2 linked regions of the Lepisosteus oculatus genome follow. The protein of the gene in region 1 interacts with the protein of each later gene in a pairwise test. Links are inferred from orthologs where the notes say so. Each region holds a gene or a part of one and is shown on either strand. Other genes may lie near its edges.

Region 1 (9,584 bases):
GACACAAGGCTGAATTGATGGCATACAACTTTGTCTTCTCTGGGTGGGACACCACTCCATTACAGGACCATGGAAAAATAATTCAGTAAAACTACAACTAAAATGCCCTTGGCAGTTTGGTGGGGAATAGAAAAACCAAACCGACAATGAGAGAACATTTCAAACTCCACACAGTTGCTCAAGGTCAGATTCAAGCCCAGGACTCTGGTGTGACAGCAGGATGCCCCCAGAAAACGTCTTCGGTTTCATTTAACGTTACAAATAAGGCAAAGACTCCCGTAAAGAGCAATTACTCACCTTCTCCCACTTCCTTCAGTAACTTGTGAAGTTCCTCCACAGCCTTGTTGAGCTCCTCACTTTTAGAGTCTGAATCTGCTGCTGCACTCTACACACAAAGCAATAAAACTGAAACAACTTCTCAAAACATCCATTTTTTAATGACTTAAGACCGTTTTACACTTACACTCTACTAGAATCATGTTAAGCTTTGTAAGCTTGAGAAAAAAAAAGTACATAAATAGGTTAAGGGCCTGAATCAATTCAGCCAATTAACATGACAAAATCTAAACAATTTTCAGCATTTTTCCTGTCATATGTATACAGTTCATCTAAAATGAAATTCCACATTGATCATTAAACAAAGTTGAGCTATGATCAGTTAATGCCCCACAAACGTTTTTTTTATTTTCCAAAGCAGGAGGGTACAGTCCATAGTTAATGCAACATTCACTTTTGGACAAGATTCACTTTTTTATTAATCTCCCCCCACTCCTTTCATTAACTTTGGAGTTTTTCTGAGCATACTGTGCTTTATGGCAACACATCCCAGGACCAGCTTCAGCTGGGGAGACTGGAGACCAAGCGTTTGAACAATTTCATTTTAATAGATCCTGTTAAGAAATGTAAAAACTTAAATAAGTGGACCTGCCTTGTACAAATTGGACAGCTTTATGTGCGCATTCAGTTCATGGCCAAACTTCTCCTCCATGCTGGCCTGCTGCTCCTTTGCCTATAGAAGAAGACAGTGTTACACTGGTCGGTGTTAGGTCTCCAGCTCAAATAGTGAAATTCATACCACAAAGAAAAAATGACCTCTTTCAATTTCATCATCAAGTCCTCTGCTTGCTTTTGAAAGTTTTCATTTGACGATTTCAGACTGTTCACTTGTTCTTGAAGTCTTGTAACCTGAAAAGCAATAAAGTAATTAAGAGACCAGCAGCCTGCATCTCGGTTTTAGGACACGCAGGGCAACATCAGTATTAACTTAAAACCAGATTAATAACAACTGACATGCTTAACTAAAATTACTCCTAGGCTGAGGAATAACAGAACCAAGCCAAATGGGTGAGTTGTACTTATATCGCTCTAAGCAAAGGCATTACTTTGTAGAAGGCCAAACTGCACTTTAGTATAGTATTAACACAATTTTGGGATGCATAACTATAAACCTTCTCAATGAATGAAGAATGCACTTGAGAAGTAGCTGCACCTAATCAAAAGAGTGGATTTTTCACACCAGCCAAAGCTGGACCAAATCAAGTATTATTTTTGTTTAAATATGTGTTTACAGTTTCAGGTGTTTATAACAGAAACCTGAAGTGCAAGAGTATTGTTTCTTAACCCTTGCAGGACCAGACCACAACATATAATCTGCCTAATAAAGCATATAAAACAAACCTCCTCCTTTTTATTCTCCAGGTTGCATTTGAGCTCCAGAACTTCATTGCCTTTCTCTCGGGAGACAGAGAGCAGCTCGTCAGTCTTGGCCTTCAGCTCTGTGTTCAGCCAAGAGTTCTGACTCTGTAGGAGCTCTTTCTCCTGCTCCATCCTCTTTTCCCGGTACTAAAACAAAAACAGAAAACAACTTTGTGTTGTTGTCCTACTTAGATTCTATTTAGAACATGACCAACCTGTAATATTCCAAAGATGCAGTTTTCTTAGTGGTTGTGACTCCACAGATTCACAACAGCCTCTGGCAGATAAATACAGTTTTCCAAATTTACAGTTTCCAGGCAACCACTTCAACTTTTGGTTTAATCTCAATGTTACAAGTTTCACTGACAGACTCCTAAAGCTGTATTAACCTCACCTTGATTGAAACCTCCGAAGACTGAAGCTCATCAAGCTTTAACTGGAACTCCATCTTTGCAGTATTCGTCTCCACAAGCTTGTCATTGAGACGTTTAAGGTCCTCTGTTAAAGAAAGATGACATTTTTAAGTATCTGTTGCATAAAAAGAAAAACGACGGTAGATCTGAACTTAACACCGAAGGACTCCAATTTGTAGAATATGTTGCACTGCCCTTTTTTTGAGAGCTTTGCTGAGGAGCACAAATATTTAAAATTTCACAACGTGAAAAGACTCCAGTACATCTCACTCAGCCCCTCTTGTGGCCTTTTACTCTCAAAACAACTCACCTTTATTCTGAAACTCCAAGACAACCAGATTCCCTTAATACAAGTTGCCAAACAAAAACTAGACTTCTGAGTCTTAAGATTTCAAGCAACAGTGTCAAGAAAAACCCCATCTAAACTGTATAACACAATTCATCATAACGACAGCAGCTATGCAAATTAGGCTGTCTTAAAAGATTCCTTCAAGGTCAGAGGCTTTGTGGCACAACCCAGATTTTCATACCACTTAGATGCTCCACTTCCTGGGACCTTTTCTCCAGTGTTCGGACCAACTCTCGTTTTTCAGCCTCCAGTTCATCTTTGACTTTGGTGAGGTGAGCCTGAAATTAAACAGAAGACGGTGGTTCTGTGATGCCTGCTCACAAGCAAAATGTGCCCCTTTTAAGTTTCAGATGAAATGACATACAAAATCCAAAGAAAAGGCATTTCAGAACAAGTAACTAAAATGTCTGTATCCAAAATGTATTTTGATGTTCACCTGCTGTGCAGAAAATCTCTCTTCTGAGGACTCATATTCTCTCTTTTGCTCTTGCAGGGTCTTCAGCTCTGCACCTAGAAATTGAACGCAGAAAAATTAGTTTAGAGCCCTACTTGTAATGTGAATGAGTCTTTACATGGCAAGCTTCGAGCAGTAGCCAAAGATTCATCCAAAAAAAAAGAGGATTCTTCAAAAAGATAATTTACCACATGGCCTGAATCACAAACTATACACCCTGTGCAGGAACAAGCATGAACAAAGATCCTTAGAGTTAGCTTCCAAACATTTTTGACAGTAGCCTACCATTTACAACAGCATGCTCAAAGGCATGGACTACATTCGTATCTGGGTGAAAACTATAGTACTGTCACATTTACTATAAAGTGATTGCAATCCGTGTACTTACTGAGCTTGGTGAACTCCTCCTGGAGATTTTGGCGTTCCTGAGTCTCTGATACGAGTTTCTCCTGGCTCTGAGCCAGTCGCTTCTCCACTTCAAAGTACTGCTGCTCTGTAAAGATTAGAGAATAGCCTGCATCAATCTTGGTTGCACTGCTGTAAGAAAAGCTTTTAATATTAATGAATGATTAAGCACTGTTTAACTCCTAAATCTGTGCAAAATCATTCAATAACTGCTTATATTACAAGACAATCCTGTAACTTAACCTGACAAACAGTTTTGCAAAAGTTTAGGGTACAGGTATGTCGTTAAACATAGGTTATTTATATTTGCATAAAAAGTCTGACAAATCAATGATTTATACCAGGTAGATAATCGTCCCCATTCTTTAAATTACAAATTAACCACTACAGCCTGAAACGGGACAAATTCACGTTCAAGATCAGTTGCTCAGATGGGGTTAACATTGCAGTTTACAGACGTAACAAACTCGTAATTCAATATTCAAAGTATGAAGATCAAATACTACAGATGGGGGATTTCCTCCAAATTCACAGTTTGTAAATCAACAAAAAAAAGACAGAAATGGAAAACTCAACCTTCCAAAAGGAATCAGACAACATCCTTTTTTGAGGTCTGAAAAGCCAGGTGCCAAAGGCCTGTTGTTTGCCTCCTCTCGGCAGCCATATTAAAATATATGAATAAACACGCAGCTGGAGAAATGGGCCCTATACCAAAGTCAGTTCAAACATTAAGGAAAGCGATGTTCACAACTGCGCACTTATAATCATATGCTCTCAAAATCCAAAGTCTGCGATCGGAATGAAACGCGAGATCTCCCTGCGTCTCCAGAGCAGGCATGACGAAAGATTAAACATGAACGTTTCCCAAACATCTTACCACTGTCTACTTTAAATCGCTCGTGGTGGGATTTGAGGGCATCTATTTCAGATTGCTGGTCTGACAAGAACTTCTCGAGCTTGTTTTGGACGGCTTTGGAGAGCTTGGCCAGCTCAGGCCGTTCCAGCATCTGCTGCAGAATCGCCGCCATCTTTAACCCCCTCAAGTCTCAATTCGGGCGAAAGCTCTTGGAAAATACCGCCTATCTCCCCACTCTCTCACATAGATATATATAAAAAGTCCTAGGTAGGCCGGGGCTTGTCGTCATTTCCGTAAGTAAATTGCATCGCCACCTAGGTAAAGAAAAGTGTAGTTGCAATTATTCTTCTCCTTGTAATGTCTGACAGAAGATACGTTTCTTTTTTCACGACATATTAAAGGTCATAAGTAGTTACAATTTAAAGAGAAAAATATATAAATGTGTTTTTTAGAGGAAGATGTGCATGCATAACGATGAACCTCCAGACGTCTTGGGCTTTTTACGTTTATCCACAGCATTTTCATTTAATTCATCTTAAATATTTATACTTTTTTTTCCTGTGCAGCTAGCGCATAGTTTAATAAGAGTGTAGCATTTTAGTTAAGTCCTCCGAAGAAGGACGTCATAATCAAGCAACGCAAAATGGCCAACCAGCGGTTGCTGGCTTTGTGACGTTCATTCCTAGGAAAAAAAAAAAGCTGTTTTGGGTGGTCTTACCAAGCAGAAGTGAAGCGTGCAGGTATGAGTTTCTGATGTTAACATATAGTTGAGACAGTCGTGGACAGGCAATTGAATGTTGGAAAGTTAGAAATTTATGTATGCATATTACATGGGCATGATTTGCAGTGCCTTCTATTTTTACTCTTTAGCTACAGAAGGAGTATAATGATCGCAGTACACGTTTCAAATTTAAAAGTAGCTAAATTTTAAGTTACGGGTTTTGAGAAAAGCAATATTCGGGCTGTTTATTTACACCCGTATGTTATGATTGGGTGTGTGCGTGTTGAAATTGGAGAATAAAGCGTGTGCCTTCTCACAAAATAAGATCTTTGTGTGTAGGATATTTGCGATCTGTTGTACAGAATTCCTTATAATATTTACATTTTGCATTAAACAATCCAGCTTAATTTGAAGGGAAATGTATAATACTACAAGGATTAAAGTCCCGGATTCTTTAAGAAGTACTTGACCAAAGAGATGACGTGTAACTCCTGCGCTGCTCTGAATCAGCTGCTGTAACCCGCACATGATCGATAAGTAAGGATTCAGCAGTCTGTTCGTAAATACACTGTGCTTCTTGGGATTCGCATAATACCCATCTGTTTCAGCTAGCGCTTTTGTCCAGAGCGACTTATAATAGTGTCACAGTTTGCTGAATCAATCTAAGTGAAGTACCATTTTACTGATATGTCATTTTTGCTTTTCCCCCTTAGAAGACAAGTAATGATAAATCTCTCAGGATGGGGAGAAGTTACTTTGTGGAGGACGTGGTAGAAAAGTACATTCTGAACCTTGTCACTGCAGAAAAAGCCTTCACAACCGGTCTCTTAATTGGGCAGGTGAGGTTCCTTCGTATGAGTGGGCTTTTTTAAGAAGCGAAGCATAAAACTAAAATAGTTTTACCATTAGACATCTCCAAAGTAAATCCAATAAATGTAGAGATTTTTGTGTAATGTAAACTTATCATCTTTAAAAGAGAACTAGATATGTTTAGTGTGACAGTGCACTCCATAAACAATAAGCTCAGTACATTCAAAATAAAACTATTAGTTGATGCTTTACTAATACTTTATTTTTCTTTGCGTTTAGTGTTCTCCACAGAGGGACTTTGTAGTGCTTGCAGTTCAAACGGCCCAGAGAGAAGAGCAATTTAACCAGCCCAAACAGAGTAAAGTATCACTAGTGGACATTGATGAAGACTGGGTCATTGGGCATGCTCGGCAGGTGTGTGATTTAATGACTTTGCCAAGAAAAATTCACATCATAATGAAAGCAGGTGGAACTGAAGTATATATCTGGTATTGCAACAAATAGACTTAAAGGCGTTAAAGGCGCAACGAATGATTGTAAGAAGCAATAGCATTTCTACTGCCTATATGACAACAGATGTCAAAGTCAATGTTAAAACGGGTCAACAGTGGAATAATAAATATACACAGATACGGAGCTTAATAAAATAGAATTGTTTCCTTTAGTCAACGTATACTGTTTATGAAAATCTTTTTAAGGAAATTTGAGAACTCCCCCCCCAGTTGATCTCTTTGTTTTAATGTCCCGTGGTGCTGAACAGGTTTCTCGAATGTTGCCTGGGGGGCTGGAGGTCCTTGGCGTGTTTCTGATCGCCTCGCCTGAACTGTCCAAGGAGTCGCAGAATACACTGCGGAGGGTGAGTGACTCAGCCCCTGAGTCAGGCCCATGACTGAAACACACATTGAGCGTTATGGCCCAGATCCATACTGTATGTAACCTTGACTAACTCCACTTCTCATACAACACATTTTGGAGAGAGAAAAACTATCGATTTTACATTTAGATTCATAATTGATTTATCTTAATTTCAGTTATTATTTTTCTGTTTCTGTTTCAGAATTCAGTGATACTCTGCTGTTGGGTCATTCGGTCTAAATGTATGACAGTAAAGTAATACGTTGTTCTCCAAGCCCAATACGCGATAGATGTATGTTCCAAGCAAGCGTTACTTCATTCGTTGAATTTAATAGTTCCAAGCCACAGTATGTAAAGTGGAAGAACAAATGTTGTTACATTGCAAATGGAATAGAAAACGTTGCAAGTGATTCTAAAAGTTTTGTGTTTCCCCAAGATTATCATGTTCAGTATTCCCGGTTGCTCAGACAATTCACTTTGCTCATTGTGTGCATAATTAGAGGGGAAACTGGCCAAGTCTAAAACAATGAGCTATTCTGTAAGTAAGAATTCCATTGTACCAGTACATATACCGGTTACATATGGCTAAAAAGTTCAAATTAATCCGAAGTGGCTCCAATAAAAAAAAAAGGTCATTCTGAATTGGACAGAAAGGAGAAAATCGTGTATTAACAATTGTACCTGTGAGAAAATCATTTAGGCATATGAGCTTTTTTTTTTCTTCCTTAGTTGGTATTTGGAGTGGAGAAGTCGGTAGTGAAGGGAAGGCTTTGGAAGCTATCAGAGGATGATGTCTCAGAAAGAGTGACTCTTCACATCTGCTCGAAGACGAGGAAGTATCCTTTAGAACAGTGTGTGAGGTTGACAATGCAGACATTCTCCTGTACATAGGAGCAGTATCATTAATCAAAAACCTTGATGTAGGAAGGTGAATCTGAATCCGACCTCACATTTTAGGCTAATTCTTAAATATTAATGCAATCATAAAAAATACAAAGCAGTGATTATGATGTAGTTTGCCATGTCAACTTATGTTACTTGTAACCATCTAACGTATTTGCACTTGTGTACTTGGAGGTGCGGGACTTCCTAATGTGTTTCTGTTGTAAGTTTCTGTCTGCAAAACCATGATGTAAGGTTAATGTATCTATTACAGATGTTTATATGAAGCAGACACATTATTTTCAGTAGCTCTGACATTTGTCCTGATATTAATGTCACCTAAAGCTTCATAATTTTCCTTGACTTGGTGAACCAAGAGTGACATGTCGGACTTTCGATGTGCAAGACCCCAAGGTGATATTAAAGAGAATTTAAATATTGCTTTGAGAAATGCAACCTTAACCATACCCTACATAAAACAAGTACTACCTAAAACATCTACTAGACCTAACCTAACCTTAGACCTCATGATGACCCTAAACCTAATCAGTTAATTGGAGTGTAAAATGTGTTCCTACCATAGTTCCAAACCTAATTTACCCTGTCACTAGACGTGATTTTAATGCTATCCTTAGCTCTTATCCTCAAATATGTTACCATGTTTAACCTTTTCCATTAACTCCTGGCTTAATTCTGCATCCTTTTATACAAAAGCAGTGAAGAAAACAGCTTTTACAACCTTCTGTGCAGTTATTCCATTGAAGAATGAATGCTTATTAAGAATCTTTGTCGTCGTTATATCTTTACTTGTCACTTCTTAATGATGCCCTGAAGAGCTCTGCTAAGCCAGCAGACTGGAAGTACCAGCCAGGACTCTCATCCTCATGGTCCGTCCTACAGTGCAGTGTTAAGATAGACCTACACATCCCAGTGCCAGAAGGGTCCTCTGTGAAAAATCTGGACAAATATGTGAAGGTAATATTTGTGTTATTTTATTTCCTCATATGTAAATCCAAAGGAATGCAGGTGTTGCAAGAATGGGGAGAACAGGCTTCTTGTTTATAGTTCTCTTTTGTATGTAGGATTACCAGAGCAAAATAAATAATTTGATCTATGTTTTTATTTTTTCTACTATTCGGAATGAAGCATCACAACTTATTTTTATCATCTTCAGAATCAATAAGGAACAGAACAAGAGGTAAACAATATAAGAAGATCATGAGAAAGGTTAAAAAAGAAAAGAGGCCATGTGGCAATTCAAGCCTATCCATTTGCAAGTAGTTAATTGCACAGAGGCTCAGCCATTTCTTGAAGAAAGCCTGAGTATCAGCTTCCACCACATACATAGCTGGGCAGCTTCTTCAATACTCCCTCAACCCTGTGGGTATAAAGGGATCTGTCACTAGCTTTAGTTGCACTCCCACACAGTTTCAACTTTTGTCACCTGGGTCTTGTTTCACTTCCTATTTTGTCAGAACATTTGACAATTTTAAATACTTAGATTACTTACAATTATAGTATTCTGTGTTCAGGACTTTATAGGTTTAGTAATTTTAGTTTAGGACATTCCTTTATTCTGAAAATTTGGTAAGAAAGTAGTCATTAACCTTGTCTACCATTTCAGTTTCTCCTGCAGACATTCAAGCTGGTTTTCCCAGTCTTTGTGAGGAAATTAGAGTCTCCCATGATAACGACCTCTTACTGTACACACATTTAATTTCATTACACAGTGTATTAATTCATATCTGGATTTGTTGGTGTGTAACACACTCCTTTTGCTATACATGATGTTGTGAGGTGAGCATACTCTTATCATTCTGATGTCTGAGCCAAATAGATTCTGGGACCCTTGGTTCCTCTAGTTCAAGTTCCAATACACGTTTTTATCTTTACAGAATAGGCTTCAGAAATGGGCTAATCTAGTAGAAGACAGTGTTATTCTAATCAATGGCCATGTCAGACCAAATGACAAAGAATTCACAGAGGGTCAGGTAAGTGATTGGATGTCTGCTTTGATGCATATAACCTTTGTTATTGCATGCCTTTTTAGTTTATTTTCAAAATGGCTTATGATGTTCTAGAGGTGCTGTCGTTAATTCTAATGATTTGTGTTTGATTTTATTATTGCTTTACACAAAGTCGAC
Region 2 (10,045 bases), on another chromosome or scaffold:
CATATATGTCTTAATATATAAAACCATAGAATCGCAAGGGGGTGTTCTTTCTTTTTTACATCACTTTACATACAGTCATAGACGTACTACAACGTATACAGTGGTCATTTATTCTGAGATACAGAAGGATCTTGTATCTGCTGTATTATGCTAAGGTGTCGATGCTGACACAGTTCCTTCTTCCCATCAGCTTATAACGTTTATTATTGTAAATGAGCAGGAGACCGTAAATTGTCATTTGTATAACTTGTTTTCACTGGTAGAGAAAAATGTTAGCTCTTATGTTGATGTAGCTCTTGAGCTGCATGCTTATTTCAAAGTCTTGTTTGGCACACCACGTGTTGTAAAACTATCACTTATGTTTAAAAGTGGTCTAAATATTTGTGGACAGAGAGGGACTGAAGTTCTTAAATTAAAAAGGAAGTTCTTCTTACTCTGAGACGAGCCATCGCCACTGAGGCGGAGAAAGAAAGTTTGCGTTGTGAAATATCTATCCTGTGGATGTAAATGTTTTTATTTGTTGTGTTTACAGGCAAACACGACGGCACTGTCCATGGGCGGGAGTATTTCCGCTGCCTCCCGGGACACGGCGTGTTTGTGAAGCCCACCCGCCTCTCTCCAGCCCCCCACAAGGTCAAAGCGCAGGACAGCGTACCCAGGTCCCAGTCGGCCGCCAGCACCAGCAGGAAACGGAGAGGCGTCGCCACCCCCCCGAAGACGCAAGAACACCGCCGCTCGTGGGTCAGCTGATCCTCGGCTTTTGCTCTTGCTACGCGACCTGCTGCGTAGAGAAACAGTGTTTGGTTGTGTATATTGGAACCTGATGTGTATATTCGGAAAGGTGACTGAATGGTTTCTGCTGGGTCGTGACTTTGTCCTTTTATTAGACACCAGCTAACAGCTAGTAGTTGGTGCACATTATACAGATACACATGTACTTAGTTTAAAGCCCACATTTTATAACTTTGACATGCTGTATTAATTCTGAATTACTTCATTGGAGACGCCTATTCACTCAGACAAGCTTACCTCCTGAGAGAATGTGGGTTTTCTGTTAGAAACTAGACCACTGTTAAAATTGTCTGTTTTCCTAACTCCTTGTCTGTATGATTTTAAATGTTGTGAATTGCCAAAGAACCCATTATATCTGCTGTCCATACCCTAGTTTGTTTGTTTTTTTAAAGGGAAAGCTCTGTGCCATATTTCCCTTGATGGCTAGGTATTGTAATGCCTTTTGCTTCTCTGTGTTTCACAAAACACTCTTCCATGACGTCTGTCTTCCAAAAGGCCGCTACTGTGTTGACTAGGCTTTTACTGGAATCCGTACAAACTCAATCACCATGCATCATCCAGTGCCTCAAGGCATTTAAAACACTAACATTCAAGTCTGTCTGCCAGGTAGATACAGGACTGAGAAAAGTGTTACTGCTACAAAGAGAGCTTCAGTTTTGTTGTGTTTTGGAACAAGTACAATTTCCATTATGTAATGGTACTTAGACTCTCCTAATTTAAACTTTTATGTGGAATGGTAGGGTTGGACAATGATGGGGAAACAAAAAAAATGTATGTATCATAGTTTTATATACTTGGATGATAGTGGGTCTTGTGTGCTCTGCTTGAAAAGTATTGCTAAAAGTATTTTTAAACAGATTTCATCACGAGGAGCTGCAAAAACAAACGGTCTACTGTAATTTCAAGTAAAAACCCAGGACCTTATTTTAAAAAAGCTGCTCTCCCCGAATCGATGGTGTAAATAGCCCCCTGTTTGGACATAGTGTTTACTACACTGTACTGTACAGAATTGTAATTTATATTGTATTTCACCAACTCTATTTAATTGGTACAGAAGTGTTTTAGAATACAGAATGTTTACAATGTAAATACTTTTCTTGTCTTTTTTTCTTCATTCCAAGATAGTCATGAGCATTGTCAAGTTCTCTATCTGGTACATTACTCAAGGGTCATCACTTATTTTAAGCAGTCATTATGTCAGAAGCCAGTTCATCTTGGCATTCATAAGATATTTCTGAAAGGTAGATGTGTCAACTGCAAAGGAGCAGGTAAAGGTTTATTCCATGCTTAAAGGAAAAGAAAAGAGATGCAATGTTTCAGCTATGTTGCCTTCTTCAGGATTTTGACCACATCTGAAACGTTGTCTCTTTTCCTTTCAGCGTGGAATAAACGTTTACCTATTCCTGAGACATTTTCATTTGTTTTAAATATATGCACTGAAGTACAATTTACAGCACAGCAAAAAAGAGCTGTTAAAATGACTAAGAATCGGCACTATGGCTTGAGCAATGCCTGTTAAACACTGGGCTCTCCCTGCTAGCTGCTGACTTCTTTCAGAAGAACTGTGATATTTCAATCTATCGCCTGCCACCGCTATGTAACAAATAGCTTATCTGTTCAACACCAACTTCCTCACAAAATAAGATAAAAGGGATTTTTTGTGAAAAATAATACTGGTTCTTTATGAGAGTATCACCATATAAAGCAATATCTTAGGACTCAAAACCATGCTTTTAATTACCATGCTTTTAATTACCAAGTAAAGTCATTTAGTGCTGTCACAGTGCTTTTAGTGCTTTTGAGAATAAAGAAGATACATCACTGTGTTGAACCACAGAGTATCTAAACCTGTACTTTTAATTTGCCCATTCAGGATTAAATGAAAGTCCAGAAAGTTAGCCAAGAAACTGCACAATTCTCAAGTTGGACTGCACCTGGAGTCCTATGTTGATTTCCAGGAGGGTTCTGAATAAAGCCTTAGGTGATTTAGTTGCATTGTAAAAATTCTTAACTTAAAACTCTGGTTGTATGACAAAGCTTCATCCTTATATTCTTAATACTGCTGTTACAATTGTTGTATTCCGGAGCAAGCCAACTAGCCATATTGTAGAAGCTGGTACCCTGGTTCCTTTTAAGAAACAGCTGTATGAGATCCCTGGATCAATTAACTACAAACTACCAAATGGATCAGATGGGTCAGATGGCTTCCTCTCTTTTGTAACCTTTCTTATGTACAGTAGAAAGCAAAACATTTTTTTTAAGTTTCACCCACTAAAGGCTCATGCATAAAATACAATTACCCCCCTTCTGTCTGGACAATTGTATTGAGAATCCTGCAGTCTGACACATATTATATTGTTATACTGTAAGAAATATTTGAAAGAAAAAATCAGTCATTACCAAACTCCTCAAACACATCGATCAGTAGTGTCTTTCTTAGTGTACTTCTTCTTGTGAATCAGAGTGACAGTTCAGTAATGGCTGTGTGAATCGGCTTTTCAGATTATTCTGGATGTCTATAGGTTTTTATTACTTATTACTTAGCTCTTCCGTTAAAGGCCGTCTGAAGAGCATCTCCCAAAAAGGCAGTTCATGAAAAGGTTTGTAAGAAAACATACAGTATGCTTAAATGGCTTATGGCCACTTCCTAAAGGCTGAATATCTTCACTGACAGATATGTCATTTACTGTATAATTGTGTGTGCTTTCTCTGAAGCTCTGTGTACAACACCAGTCTGCAGTCTTGCCAATATAACCCTGAACTCTTTACATCACGGATTCAGATCCGTGATCTGTAACTCTAGCTGAAACCAAAGGTTTTTAGGACTGTTTTCTCACTCGGTTCAAGTAACAAGGCTCACTGGCATAGAGGCTGTTCCAGAGGATGACTTCATTACCTTTGAATGTAAAATCGCTCTAAAGTACTACAAGGACATTAAAAAGGATATTTACATACTGTATAAAAACATAGATCCTTTCATGCAGACTGTAACTTCCTAGATCTCACTATTACTGCCTCATATGTATTTGTGCCATCTTCCTATGTGGACTCTTCTGCACAAAATTATATTAAATTTCACTTGATGTTTTTCTGGCATTGGGGCTTTTAAATTCCTGCCAAAGGACAGAAACAGAGGTCTTTGTGGCCATGACTGTGGCAGACACAATAGTGTGTGTATATATTACAGGACTGGGAAGGACCTCAATCCTGACTGTACTGGTATGTTCCCTGAAATGGTTGGCCAGTGTAAATGGAAGGAAACTTTGTTCGGGAAAGATCACTCTAATCCACAGATCTCTTCACAATCCGTGCTAGACACTTTGTGATGGACCAGAAGACACTGTATTGCCAGTAAATTCATATCCACTCCAGATCACCCAGAGGGCATTGTGCCTGTCCTGCAATTCCATCCACTGCATTTCTTGCGGAAAGCGTCCTACACTATCACATTTGAAAATCAAGACGAATGCCCTTCACAGTAATTCAAAGCGGTAATTTCAGTTGCCATATTTCTGGCTATCACACACCCAGTGGAGTTTACCTGCCCCAGTTTAGGGGGCAAGAGTAGATGTGGGAGACTGCAACTGGGTTGCTTTCTTGCCTGGTTTAAGAGCAACTTGCAGGCAAGGCCAGCTTGGAAGGTATCTGAGAATGGCCAGCACCTGCATGGAAGGCATTCAGGAGCTATTCAGGGTTCTTGTACTGTATTTACAGAGTCAGAGAGTACAAGTTGTACTCCAGCTCCCCAGGGGAGTTAAAATAAAATATATGCTGATTTTTTACCTCTGGTGTGTTGACTGTGCTTGGGTGATGTCACAATTCCTCCGGAGATTTTATTCTTTATTCAGGCAAAGTACACTGAATTCTCACCGTCATCAACTACATAGTATGAGGAAGTAATAAAAAAAGGACAAAAGAATGCTTGGGCATAGCATTGAGATTGCAAAGGTTAAATCAAGTGTAAGTAACGTTTAAGTTATAAATTAGATTGCTTTTACATGGAATAGTTTAAACCTTTTGTCAGCATGCTAAAAAAATCATTTAGAGGTGAGCACTGACAAAATTAGTGTTTCTAGCCTGGAACATGGGAATTGAATTGAGGTTCTCAGAATAGCAAAAACCTTCACTCAATCAACTCAATTTAAAGTACAGGTAACAAATTGTGTCACTCGTAAAATTCTAGCAGTAAAACCTATGTGCTCAAACGTCGTCAAGATAGAAAGATCTGAACAGGTCGGTGTACCCAAATTCCTTTTTGTACGTTTCAAAGACGTGTCTATAAATGGTAATATTCCGTGTGTACGTAAGTTAAATGTGATTAATAAAAAATACATCTTGACGAATGTATGATTTTATCCGACGCATTCAGCTTTTTTATTTAAAAAAAATTAAGTTAACTCTTCCACGAGGCGTACCAGAAAACAGAACTTCAGGTCCCACAAACCCTTGGCATACGCCTCGCCCGCGATGCATGTCGGTATAGCGGCGGGCCAGGCTTCTCGGAGGCTGACGGGAGAAGAGTATCCGATACCGAGCGGTGAGCTGTTGTGAGTAAACCATGGCGGCTGCAGGAGGAGGGAAAATCAGAACTAGGAGGTACCACATCGCTTCGAAACCTTACGCCAAAGGCAAACAGGTAAATTGAACTCTGCTTTGTGGCTAAAAGAAAACGGCGGTGTCTTGCTCGCTGGTGGTAGTCAGGTGTTGTGTGTTTGTAACGGCGTCTTGCGGCCTGGTCTGCCCCATCCTCGGAGGCCTGCGCTCTCTGGTACCTGGTGTCTGCGGCCTACTGGGCGCGCAGGCAGGCTGAACACATCGGGGAGGTCGGGGAAATAAGGCAGCCCGGGAGCACACTGCGAGTAGCGGTGGCGTGAAGAGGCAGTCGGGGTGCATTATCGGATTGTCATTAAGCGGTACTTAAACTTTGCATCATTTTGCGATTTTACTGGTATTCTCTTCGCTGATTTTTTTTTGTTTATTTACTTTTTTTTTCGGGCGCTAAAAATGTAACGTGCGTCCACCCTGGAGCGAGTCCAGGCCCCGCATGTTGCTTTAAGACTGTAACTCTTGCCGGAGTGGCGTGCACACACTCGCCAGGTGGAAACAGGGGAAAGCCCCGATAATTTCGCTTCGCGGAATTAATCCTTGAGACCGCCGAGTTCCGTCCTTTTAGACGGCGAGTCAGGGTGATCGGTGCGCTCCTGTGCTCCGAGCATGTGGCTCCGGATCTCGCAGTGCAGTGATTGCGATCACGTCGTAAGCGGGCAGATCGCCGAAATTTTGCGGCATTCGATGTTCGAACGCCAGCGGGATAAGTATATTGTATTCCTAAACCTTTGCACTTCCCAATGTGAGGTTTAAAGTGTAATCTCCGTTATTGAGGAGTATGCGCTAACCAACCCAATTAAAAGTGGTTTATTCGTGGGGTGCTGTATTTTATTCTAAGTTTCGTCTCTCTTTAAATATCATGTCCGGGCACCCAAAAAGCTTGAAAAAGAACGCCCCCCCCACCTTTTAAAACCATTCGAGTATAACAATGTTGTTATATTTAACTTTTTTCAATTCCATTTAAATCACTCCAAATTCTGGACATGTGGATTCTGTCAAGAAGAACCCGAGTGTAGGTTTGTATTAGATGAAGTCATTCCACAGGCTTGAGCTGTGAGTTTTTAGTCACACTGAAGCATCTTGCTGTTAACTCGCAACCTTTGTTTCAAACTTTATCACGCAATTTAGGATTTCACCAAGGAGAACTGTAGTAGCTAACCCAATCATTTAAAAATACAGCTGGTTAACAGATTTGCTACTGTTTGGGGATTTTTTGTGCTGTTTTTTTATCTTAGATCTGTCATGATGGCATATTATGACAGATCTAAGAACATCACTCATGATGCAGGTACAAAAATTGGTTTAAATAGGCCAAGTTCATGAAAAGTTAAATTATGCAAGACTGGGCCTGTTACATAATATGCCAGTTCATCTCCTGAATGCTTCTGTCTTAGGAATGAGGTTTAATTTTTTTTTTAAATGCGCCTTAAGTTGCAGGATATTTTTTCTTCTTGTCTGTCCTGGTCTTTCGAAGCGCTTTCACTGTGCCGAAAGTTGTCCAAAATACGGGGAAGGAAAATGTGTAGTGAAAGAAAACTGAACTATCAGTTCATCTAGTATCAGAAAGCTGTTTGTTCCTAGCGAGGGTCACAAGGTGAGACTCGCTCTGGATGGTATGTTGCAGGAAAGACGGACATAGGGACAATGAGAGAGTCAGTTATCCTGACCAGCGTGTCTTCGAGGAAACTGGAGCACATGGAGAAGACTCGTATAGAATCAGGGAGAAGACATATACCACACAGAGGGCACGTTCTAATTTAAACTGGTGTGGCCAGCCTATGAGGCAGTACATCTTTTTTTAGTGTTTTTAATGTTTCTTTATTAGCCCTATACAATTTATTGCATTAGGAATTCGCCTTTTCGCATACCCCGGCTTTTCTCCATGGAAACACAGACAGGGAGAGAAGCTGCCATTGTACGGCGCCCCTGGAGCAGTTAGGGGTTAAGGGCCTTGCTCAGGGGCCCAACGAAGTAGGGGCCCATTCCTCTGCCGGCCGCGGGGATTTGAACCGGCAACCTTCCAGTCACAGGCGCAGATCCTTAGCCACAGAGCCACCGCTCCGCCCCTGCATTTTGCATCTGTATCTGTATCTGCATCTGCATCGCCCCTTCCATCTGCAATGGAAGCTTTGAATCGGGTTGCATAGTTTTTTGGGACTCCCATCATTTATACATGGCTTAAATGCCACATACCCATCATTCAGGAAAACTAATAGTCACATCAGGATGAACCTGCCAGAAAGGCTGGGAAGTGAGGTGTCCCTGTGCAATGCAGTCCGAATACTCTGTGTTGCTATGAGTTCTGTAGTAACTAGACACTCCTGCACAGATTCTCCAAATGTGATCATTTAACTAGAGAACATTTTGAAGAGGGCAACAAATCCATATGCATCTGAATTTTGTTTTCCTCTGTTGTGTTGTCTTAGAAGTTCTGTATTTTTTTAAAGGTGCCAGACAACTGAAATATCAGGCAGCTATTTGTAAATTTAAGTTATAAATTGTCCCCTTCACCAAATTAACATCTCTTTGAAAACGCATCCCAAATCGGCTCTTATCATTTACTCCTAATTATTCTTTTTTATCAAGCAGAGGGCTGAGTAACCGAATTTGGACAGCTCAATATGTACTCTTGAATTTCAGGTTAGAAATGTGGTATAGGGTTATCGTCAAAGAATTGGTGATAGTTAAGGTTAAAGTTGTGATAAGAGTGTGGATATGTCAGGATTCATTTTTTAGTGTAAGTGTAAGGTACACGTACAGGTTGTTTTATTCCAACTTTTTGTCTCAACCCAGGTTTTGAGTATGTAATGAGCTTTCCAGAGGTTCATATCAGCATCTGCATCATCTGACAGCTTTTGTGCTTGCATTCATTAAGATATCTGCATCAGGGCCACACAGTTTTAATAATCTACTCATTGCACTTGCACTTAATACATAGCTCAGAACCAGCTGAGTCAGGAATGTACTTTCTTACAGGTCAAGTTGTCACGCTGTCTGGCATTAGTACAGTTCTGTTATCATGAAGGAGGGATATTTTTTTTTAAATGAGCGTCATTATTCATGGTACCCAAACGAAACATTTTTTTTTCTATCATTCAGTTGTGAACCAAAAATTAAGGTAAAACTAGTTTTGATTATGTATTTCTTAATGAAGTATAAATAAAAGATTTACAGCTGAAGAACAATAATTCATTGTTTACCAGTGTCGGTTATTGATCAAATCCAAAGTTTTCTTTTAAAAACATGTCTTTTAAGTGTTGTTGCCTTTTTAGAAATTGTAAAATAGCTCAGAGTCTCTTTATTGAGATGCCAACATGATTATAAGCTTTTTTCATTCTCTGGCATTACCTCCCAAACATTTGTCTTGAGTTAAATTCACAAGAGTTAATTTGGCAGCATTATGGAAGGGCTGCCAATGCACATTTTGGACAAAACCCTAGTTCTTATTTTTTCTGGTTATTATTTCCATTCATAACATGGAGCGTATATAAACTTTTTCGTTGAAGGAAGCTATCATTTTCAAAGTGTCCCTTTGTTGTGGTGTACTGCTATTTTATCGGCCGAAAGGGTTACTGAGCTGATTTCAGCTAGTACGGTTGGGATTTGGGAATATGCTGTAGAAGCTTTCATTCCTGTTCAGTTTGTGGGGTGAATTTTTGGTTCAAATTAGTGGTTATTTTAATTGAGGGGATTTAAAAACCTCTCTGAGATTGTGGGTGTGATGCATTGTCTTTCCCCTAGGTCCTGAGAGCAGGCAGACTCAGGTCTGAAACGCACAGCTGACCCAGATTCCTAACTGCATGTTTGTTTGGAAGTTTGTTCAGACTCTTTTCTAGCTGAACCCTTGGCGTTTTGACAGTGCCCTCTTGTGCCCCAACGTGCTTGAATTTACTGGGTTGGAACAGTTTCTTCAATGAAATTTTTTAAAACTAAGGTCATGCAGTTGCTTTAGTGAAAGCCTTTACAGGCTCATGAAAACATACATTTTAGTACAGCTGCCATTAAGACATAGCTAAGGCAGTGCTAGCAGTCTGTGACAATGTGACCAGCGGTTTTTATTTGAATATTCAATCTTTCTTAAAAAGCAGGCATCAATACTTCTTTGTAGATGCGTGACTGTGGGGGTGTTTGTATTTTCTCACGCCACAGCTTCTGTCCTGCTCCTGTATACAAACATCTTAGGCAGGGTTATCAAATGTATCATTTTTTGTTAGTCAAAATGTTAATTCAGAATTCAAATATTTTTCCTCAGCACTAAACTGAAATCCAGATGTATCTTTAGATGCTTCTGCAGCAAAAACACTAGCAAAGGGGTTTTGCTAGAAAAGTTTAGAACGAACCACTGTTTTTTGCCGATATTCCTTTTTTCTTAAAAACGTTCTTTAGACGTACTCAGGTAAATGTGGCCGTGTGCTAGTCAGTCTTTTTAGTGGCCGATAAAATGGTTAAAAATATTTGATAGATGCCTTTGTCTAACTTTTACACATACCTATTTATGTTCTATGTACAGTTTTAGTAGATACTTGTGTTTTTTTGTTGCCACTTTTGCTTTAAAACATTCTCTCAGTAGTCTTTCTGAACTTCTCCATGTTTCAATTGACATGATTTTTTTCACACTGATAGTTTCATGAATGGTCTGAATATA

Evidence for each region.
Region 2: the proteins of nucleoprotein TPR (region 1) and nup153 interact in a two-hybrid assay, tested with the Homo sapiens proteins (3 studies listed by BioGRID, with this or other methods). The link is inferred for Lepisosteus oculatus from reciprocal best matches to the Homo sapiens genes TPR and NUP153.

The regions. Positions count from the first base shown.
Region 1 is NC_090704.1:8,457,827-8,467,410, reverse strand, and holds the start of nucleoprotein TPR, read right to left. Parts: upstream 4,412-9,584; 5' UTR 4,345-4,411; coding exon 4,194-4,344; intron 3,405-4,193; coding exon 3,300-3,404; intron 2,968-3,299; coding exon 2,894-2,967; intron 2,736-2,893; coding exon 2,639-2,735; intron 2,194-2,638; coding exon 2,090-2,193; intron 1,843-2,089; coding exon 1,678-1,842; intron 1,186-1,677; coding exon 1,093-1,185; intron 1,010-1,092; coding exon 929-1,009; intron 386-928; coding exon 298-385; intron 1-297. Other genes in the region: odr4 (protein odr-4 homolog), read left to right, coding at 5,634-5,732, 5,983-6,117, 6,464-6,559, 7,288-7,394, 7,818-7,854, 8,275-8,415, 9,336-9,431.
Region 2 is NC_090705.1:16,832,273-16,842,317, reverse strand, and holds the start of nup153 (nuclear pore complex protein Nup153), read left to right. Parts: upstream 1-5,289; 5' UTR 5,290-5,350; coding exon 5,351-5,428; intron 5,429-10,045. Other genes in the region: kinesin-like protein KIF13A, read left to right, coding at 533-750. UniProt on the Homo sapiens protein: Component of the nuclear pore complex (NPC), a complex required for the trafficking across the nuclear envelope. Functions as a scaffolding element in the nuclear phase of the NPC essential for normal nucleocytoplasmic transport of proteins and mRNAs.